Caenorhabditis elegans: one gene and its partner. The protein of the gene in region 2 interacts with the protein of the main gene of each other region in a pairwise test. Each region holds a gene or a part of one and is shown on either strand. Other genes may lie near its edges.

Region 1 (3,842 bases), on a different chromosome or scaffold from region 2:
TGAGTCAGAAATTCAAAATTATATTGGAAAATGTGCAATAATAAAATTGACGGAGTTGGCTTGCCTTATTCTACTAGCTGAAAAGATCACAAATATTTTCTGCACAAGTTCAATGTACCATGCCTTTCTCATTAGAGAAAGACCACCATTAATTGTGAGAGAAAAAAATAAAAATAATTTTCATTCTACCTGATTGAATATTGAGCAGCTACCGGAAACTTCATGAACAGCAGCAGCCAGGCTTTTTGACAACGTTCTCACAGGAAAAACAGAGAGAAAAAAAGAAGAAAAATACCTTTGTATATATAGACGTAATGATTCTAAGTCTCTCTTATTTCTTTTCAAAAAAAAACTAGACAAGGACCTAAGAAAAACAAAGAAAATGAGGTGTCGTTAGGGATGTCGGGAGGGATGACCCAAAGACAAAGAAGTCCTCTAGGGAATGTGTGATACTGTGCAAATACCACTAGATGATGACAGAAGTCTCTGATGAGTGGCACCTTCCCTATACATTTGTGTATAGATCTGATGGTCTAAAAAAAGCAAAGAAGATGGGTGGTTCAAGTAATACACGGAGGCACTTGAGTTGGTCAGTGTTCCTCTAAGAGCAGAAAAGGAGGAGCAAAGGGAGACGCAAAGGCGCGCACAAAATAAATTAGAAATTTAGTCGAGATGTCGAAAAATCGAAAAATTCGAAACGAGTGCAAGATAAATGAATGAAGATTTTTTTTGGAAGACCTCCTTCCTTGAAAAGTGTAGTGTAGTATGATATGTAGATTCGCGAACTTGCGAAAGAAAACTATTTGGCGATTTTTAAACAGTTTAACCATAACAAGCCTATGTACATTTCATCAACGAATTTTAAATTCACAATTAAAAATTATACATTTTTAGTAAAACAAATTAACCGTTTTCCAACATATGTTTTTTTTTTAAACTAGTTAATGGAAAACTAGCCGTAAAACAAAAAATCAAAACATCCGTAATCACTCTTATAGTATTAAAATTAAAATGATTTATCGAAATTACTCAAAAGACCTTTTCTTTAATTTGGCAATTTACCACAACATTGACTGAACATTTTGAAAAACTAAAACTTTTTGGTAAATTTTTTAAGTTATATTATTTTTAATTTAATTTAATTTATTACGATAGTAAGATATCGTGAGGTAGAAAAAAAAACACACACATTAACAGACACAAACCATCACAAGTGGTTACATAAAAAAAAATGGAACAACAATAAAAAAAGATGAGAAAAACCATGTTGGATTCAATAACTTTTTGTGGGTAGTGGAAAATGAAGTTGATGATTTTTCAGTTCATTTAAATCAATTTGACTAGATCACTTTCGAATGAAAGCTGTGTAATTCAAAAAAGAACTGTCAAACAGCCAATTTTAGAATTTTTTCAATTCTAGGAATAATTTCAAAATCTCATGTGCTAGATTCACAACTCCTAGAGTCATTTTTATTCCGAAAAAATGTCCAAATAAATAAATCAAAAATACTATGATCCATTCCGCATACTTATTCTTTTTTCAACAACAACAACAAGTTCTTCACTCGAAAACTACTGCTCAAGTTGTCCCACAAAACCACTTCAAGGTCCTTTTGGCATTGTTCTCTTTATGAATATTGCAGGCGTACTTATCTAAATTATTATATTTGCATTTTTAGAATTACATTTTGCTTCACGAAATAATAGTGTCGGGACTTTGTGAGCAATATTAAACTCTGATAAATATTGACGTCAACTTTTGCCAAACTGAACAGGAAAACTGGGAAGCCTTTCATAGACCTGCAATGTCTACCTTTCTGCCTTGCATACCTACTAGTAAATCCTGTTAAACTCTGGTGTTTGTTCAGTTTTGATTTACAAATGCATCTTTTCTTCATATAAATAATTATGTATGAAACTTCAGCACGGAAAAGAAAATGAATTAATGTGTACACTTTTTAGTAGGTAGGTTCGCCATGCAGGCGTAGGTTCGCCATGCAGTCAAATAAACATTTTTTAAAGTGAGTGGTTTGTTTCGCGTGCGTTTTTCTCTTGATTATTAATAAAAGTTTTAAAGAGAAAATGTGGGAACATTAAAAAATACAGTATCACGTAGTTTGTCCAAGTTTAAAAAATTCCTAATCAAGAAAGGTCATCTACAAGTCGATTATCAATTGAACTTCCTTATATCAATCATTAATTAGTTTCCTCACAATCGAAGAGTGCAGTAGTCCGATTGAAAATGATCAACGTCGATCCGCCAACTGGAAACTATCCGGCAACTGGAGGCAATTCGACGCACAACATCACTTCCGAATCGGATTCCCGTCTTGCATTCAAGGTGAAGTCGTCGAACAACGAGCACTACCGCGTCCGTCCAGTTTATGGGTTCGTGGATGCAAAGGGAAAGAGCAAATTGGACATCAATCGTCTTCCAGGGCCACCAAAAGAAGACAAAATTGTGATTCAATACGCGGAAGTGCCAGCCGAAGAGACTGATCCAATGGCACCGTTCAAGGCTGGAGCTCAACAAGGAGAAATCATTGTGAAGCTCATCGCTGCTTGAATGGAATGCAATAACTGAAGCAAATGGGAAAGAGATTCATTGATTTTTGTATTGAATAAAATTATTGTATTTTCCGCTGGTGTTTGATTGTGTTTTAAAAATGTTTATCAATTCCAATATAAGATAGTATTCAGTCATGTGATACATATTTAACAAAAAAAACGAAAGAAGTTGGGGATTTTTCCTGAGATTCCGTATAGTAATTGTACATAGAGCTTGAGCATCTAGAATACGAAAGAAGAGCAAGTGATTCCTGAATCATTTGTCACTGAGCAGAACTCTGAATCGGAAGAAGCGAGGTATTCGAATGGCTGCTTTGTGCAGATCACAACATATTCACGGTTCATTTCAGTTTTCAGGAGAGCAGTGATTGTTTCACGTGACTCCTTCTCACCTGATGTCATTCCCTGAAAATGTTCAATATAGACTAGTTACTTTCAAATGCAATACCTTCTTGATAATATCTCTAACTTCAACACTATTACAGAACAAATCTCCACTTGAAGCTTTCATGTCAACTGATCTCTTTGACTTGGCTCTGTATGGTCCTGGTCCGTAGGATCCAGCATAAGATGGTCCAGCGTATGATGGTCCACCCGCATATGATGGTGGTGGTGGTGGAGGTGGAGCTTCATATCCGCCTCCGCATGGTGGAGGTGGTGGAGGTGGTGGACAGCAGCATTGTTGAGGTCTTTGTGGACCTAATCCTAAACCGAGTCCTTCTAGAAGGAATGCAGATGAAGAAGCAGTCAGTGAAAGAACAATTAGAACTGATGAATGAACCATTTCGAGTGGAATGTATGAAATTCTCGTTTTCGATGGTCACTTTTGTAGTCATTACAGCAGAGCGTTAGAGATTGATACGCAGAGAAATTGCAGCTTCATTATTACACATTTTGAGAAAATTCGGCGAGAAGTGACCGCCAGTGCTGTAACAAACCGATGAGTAATTGGCCGAAAAGCCACTTGACCCCGGGTTCGGCACACAGAATTCAAGGTTAAAGTGGGTGGAGCCTACTTGTTTTTATGCTTGTTGACTGGTTTAAGTTCGTCGCGTCATTGCGCAGGAGACCCCCTAGAACCTTCAGACTACTCCATCACTTATTTAGTACATGATTTATAGTAATTCCATTTAACAAAATTTAATAGCACATAGGTTTCATCAGAAAGTTTTTGGTCCTTCTAGTTACAACAACAGAGATGAGGACGGTGAGTCTTACAGCAGTGTGGTTTCAATAATTAAATACGAGATCGATACAAAAGAGGGCGCGAAAAG
Region 2 (4,518 bases):
TCTTTGCGGCCCTCTCGTTCATTTTCATAGTTTTTTTTAAAATTTATTCTGGACCGCAAAAATTGAAAAAAAAACTACCATAAACTTTTTCTTGCGCGCCGAGACTCATCTAAATAAATGAGTGCGCCTTTAAAAAGCCATGTCAAAATCTTGTGAAACTGATAATATTTCAACTAACTCTTCACATAAATCGGCGTCGCATGTCTCACAATAATTCGAAGCGTGATGATTCGTGTTCTCATCACAGACTCCATTCTTATTCCTCTCCTTTTTCTCATTCTTTTCCGAAATTACTCGGTTCTTTCGATCTTTCACCTCTTGTTTGATTTCCAGAATACTAAAATTCTTTTTGAGTCTCGTCACATCTTTTTTCCAAATTCTCGTCTCAATTCGATCAAATGGGCATGCGATTATCGAAGACTGTCCTTTTATTTTTCCTGCACATCCTGTACAAATCGTGTGACCACATTCTGGAAGATAAAATAATTTTTAATTAAGAATCAAAACACACGGTGTACCAGTCAAAATTCTAGGGATTAGGAGCTTTTCGTCTTCTGAATACTCCTGCCCGCAAATCCCACACTCCGGAAAGCAGCGGAGCATATTCATGGCAAGTTCTGGAAACGAAGAAAAAATATTCGAGTGTATGAAATGAATGGGAAATTTCGTTATTGTCGTTGTTGAAAACGAAAATGTTCGTTTAAAATACGAAAAACGAATACGAAACAAGAAACAGCGCGATGACACCAATTGACCACAAATTTGTGTAAATTTGGAGCAATTTCCGGAGATCAAACAGAGAAAGAAAACACTTTGAATATTCTTGATATGCAGAGAGTGTTCGAAAACTAGAAAAAGAGAGCGCGAGGAACAAAAGTAGAAAGAGTATAATGTGCACACGCGAGGCGACAGGGGGCCTAGGCAGTTGTTGTTTTCAACTCGTTTTAGACTTTGGAGACGCAGAGTCAGATATGCAAAACTATTATCTTCAATGAGAAAAAATGTATTTTATCAAATAGCTATTCAATAGTTCTGTTCAATTTTCCGAACCCATTCTTCAAACTCTTCAGACGTCGGACCAAGTTCTGCGGTTGAAGCGTCATCCGAATTGACTGATGCATTGGATGTTGAACCATAGTCTTCAAGAATCTCAAAATCATCTGGCGGGCACGGAATAGCAAGGTTGACACGTGGATCGAAGTAAACTGGTTCCAAATGTTGCTCCGATTGAGCTAAGCACTCCAGAGAATCAACTACAGTAACCTTCTGATCATCACACATCATTTGAAATCCGGTGATTTTGCCTTGATCACGCCAGACTTGGAGCGGCGACGGTTGATGATTGAGGTCGAAAGGATCATCTGAAGCTGAAAATAAATTTTTTAAAATTTAATTGAGACGGAATCCCACCTTTAACATAATCTTGTTCCATAGAACTCAAATCCGATGCTGTACTGAAAGACATCTGAGTATTCAAAGAAGGATCTGCATAGGCATCCAACTTTTGTGCCACTGTCTCCAATGATACAGCTGTGCAGACCGATGTACAACTCAAAGATTCTTCGATTGCGGTTATCACTGAAAAATCTGGTGATTCAAGATCATCTGAAATCGTTTAAAGGCAACTCACAGTTACTAATAATATCTGCTTCGTTCGTGTTACTACACTCCTTGCTTTTGATGACTCCATCCAAATTGATATCCACTTCTGAACCAATCTTTTCGAGAGCAATGAAATCTGAAATTCTACGGTTCAGACGGCATGACAAACTCAGTAAAATTACCATTGACGACATCTTCCTGAGAACACTCCATGATTATGATCTCTCGAGATGTGATCGATTTGAAAATTTTTTTGAAATGAAATTTTGAATATAAGAAAATGAACATTGAGGCATTAGTAGGAAAGACGTGAAAACATTTAATTTTATAAAAATTTAAAGAACACGGTTGCCACGTGATTGGTGAAAACTTGTACAAAGAATTTATAGATGCTCACAGAGGCAACTCCTTTCGAACAGTTCTCTCAAAAAGTAGGAAATAATGGAAATTGAGAAGAAGCACCACATTTTATGTACAGTTAACATTAAATAGCATGGTAGAAGTAACTTAGAACCACGAGGCTGGTAGATCGCAACAAGGGCGGGTGAAGAATTGATGCAAATTTCAGATTTATAGGGATAAGACAACTCTTTTTAGAAGAATTCCCGTCTTGTTAGGTGTTCAACCCGGGAGCCATGACGGGGCTCATTTTGTCCGCCTCGCTTTCATGTGTGCAAAAGGCGGCCAGGCACAAGTCTCGTTTCCATGAACTATCGTAATAGTCATCAAAAAATTTGCTATACAAAAAACCAAGAAATTACGAATGCATAGACAACAACAAAAATGATTCGACATTTTTTATAGACCAAGTTCAATAATTTGTTCCGATTCTTCAGATCTCGTGATGGATTGAACTGGCATTGGATGAACGCAAGAGGTAGCTTTCCACAGATTTGGCTGAAATTGAAAATATTATTTCTTAAATAAACTTCACTCTTACCAGTTTTTCCAAAATCAGGATTCTGATCGAAATCCACCGGGATTGGTTGGAATTTGTCCAACTGATGAAGGCATTCAATTGAATCAATGATCTTCGCATTCGAAAAATTGCTGCACTCCAATCCAATCACTTTGCTATCCGGAATCCCGAGCTCGGCTTGAAGGCGCTCTACGTAGGCGGTGGTGTCGAATGTTGGATGAGCTGATTTTGCAGTGTGCTCTGACGCCAAATCCTGAGCAACGTTCTTGAGAACATCAGCCATTGTGACGTTGGTCTCCGAGGCAAGGGCAGTGTACTCCGAGAAGCTTGCAACATTCATTGTAACATTTGCTTCTGATGGTGGCATTGAGTAGACAGAGTAGTCAAGAACGTTCATCACTGAAAATTTTTGGTTTTTCAAGATAGAGTTGTTGCAGTTAACTTACAGTCTTTGCACCGCTCGAACTTCTCATTCATGGTCACTGGGGTCTCGGATTTTGGAGCAGAGTAAACGGACAAATTGAATTGATTGATATCTTGACATGGCTGGAACCCTTCGCTAGCTGACACATTTGTTTCTGATTTTGGGATTGGGTAGATCGAAGAATCAGCTTCTGTAAACTCAATATTCCCAAAAAAAAGACAATAAAAACTTACGATCATCTGGCGTCTCATTGACAGCGATAATTTCTTTGGCAAGCACCTCATTGATGGAGCAATTTGTCTCCGATGGCTGAGCAGAGTACACGGAGCACATTCCATCCTGATCCATTTGGTTGTCGAACGAGGAAGCCATAGCTAACCAATCAATTGAGCAGATTGTTTAATCCGACGGTTGAGGTTGTCGGACGAGTATGTAGCAATAAATTGTTAGTGTGGCAAGGGGGAGGTAAGGGGAATTCAAAAGTTCACGTTAAAAGTTCAATTTTTTTTTTGAAATTTATAAATTTTTTTGAAATTTGAACTTTTTATAGTGGAATCATGGCATTTTAAATATATATAAATTGTCAAATAAATAAAAGTGTAAGTCCACGATTCCAGGGAAAAAATTCAAAGTTTTATTCATTTCGTACATCAACTACACAGTCGTACGATGCAAGCCCCCGTCGTAACGGAAACTTGTCAAACCAACGAAGAAGGAGAGCAGCTTGTGCTCCGCCTGAGAGCTCCAGTTGAGCGTCCACGTGTCACTTGGGGAGCGGGAGTAATTGGTGAGTGAATTTATATTAAAAAGTCTTGAAAAATACTTAAACTTTAGATAACGAACACATGGGACGTCTCAAATCCAATTGCTGTTGCATCTACACTCCGCCTCGTGTCTGGGATGATCCGTCAACTTGGGAGCCGGAGGAGCATGAGACGGAGCACTGTCGTGGACATACTCTTCCAGAGAAGAAGCAAAAGCCACAAGGAGGACATGGTAGCGATAAAGATGAAGATAAGGGAAATTGTGGATGTGATCATTGTTGAAACTCGAAGATTTAAAAATTATTAGGAAATTTATGTAGATTTTATTGTAAATTAATCTAAATGACCCATCATGCCTTTGTTCTTATGTTTTTGTATTGAATATTACTTTTCTGCGGTCATAAAAATGAAAAAAAAACTGAAAAACAAACTATTAACACAATTATTTATTCTTGATATCCAAATTAGGTAGCCCTCAAAAATCAATCTTTCTCCACATCGTTTAGCCGCCACTTCTGGAATCTCTTTGGTCCAGTTTCGTGAATAGCAGAGACAGGATCATAGGAGAGTGTGTAGTTGATGACTGTTTGGTTTTGGTATTGACCTTGAGTTTGGAGCATTCTGGTGGCACGATGATGAAGCAGATTGACTTTGGCAACAGCGCTGTGGAATAGACGGAAGTCTTTTTGAGTGTCAGCAATTGAAACTGGAGCAAAATCTTTTGGTTCAAGAAGACCCAAGCGACGTTTTGTCTGAAATTAAATAACAGAAATTAAAGAACATCTAATAGTGAGCTTGAAAAATAAATA

What was found.
Region 1: the proteins of ZK945.6 (region 2) and ssp-34 interact in a two-hybrid assay, tested with the Caenorhabditis elegans proteins (one large-scale study listed by BioGRID).

The regions. Positions count from the first base shown.
Region 1 is NC_003282.8:10,737,003-10,740,844, reverse strand, and holds ssp-34 (Sperm-specific class P protein 34), read left to right. Parts: upstream 1-2,242; coding exon 2,243-2,566; downstream 2,567-3,842. Other genes in the region: grl-21 (Ground-like domain-containing protein), read right to left, coding at 2,791-2,973, 3,017-3,352.
Region 2 is NC_003280.10:10,105,088-10,109,605, forward strand, and holds ZK945.6 (Ovule protein), read right to left. Parts: upstream 1,884-4,518; 5' UTR 1,816-1,883; coding exon 1,785-1,815; intron 1,739-1,784; coding exon 1,631-1,738; intron 1,579-1,630; coding exon 1,411-1,578; intron 1,368-1,410; coding exon 1,024-1,367; 3' UTR 993-1,023; downstream 1-992. Other genes in the region: putative RING finger protein ZK945.4, read right to left, coding at 179-470, 519-609; ZK945.7 (uncharacterized protein), read right to left, coding at 2,435-2,499, 2,543-2,920, 2,968-3,135, 3,179-3,317; ZK945.8 (PPP1R11/YPI1 family protein), read left to right, coding at 3,615-3,732, 3,780-3,991; lov-1 (Location of vulva defective 1), read right to left, coding at 4,192-4,461.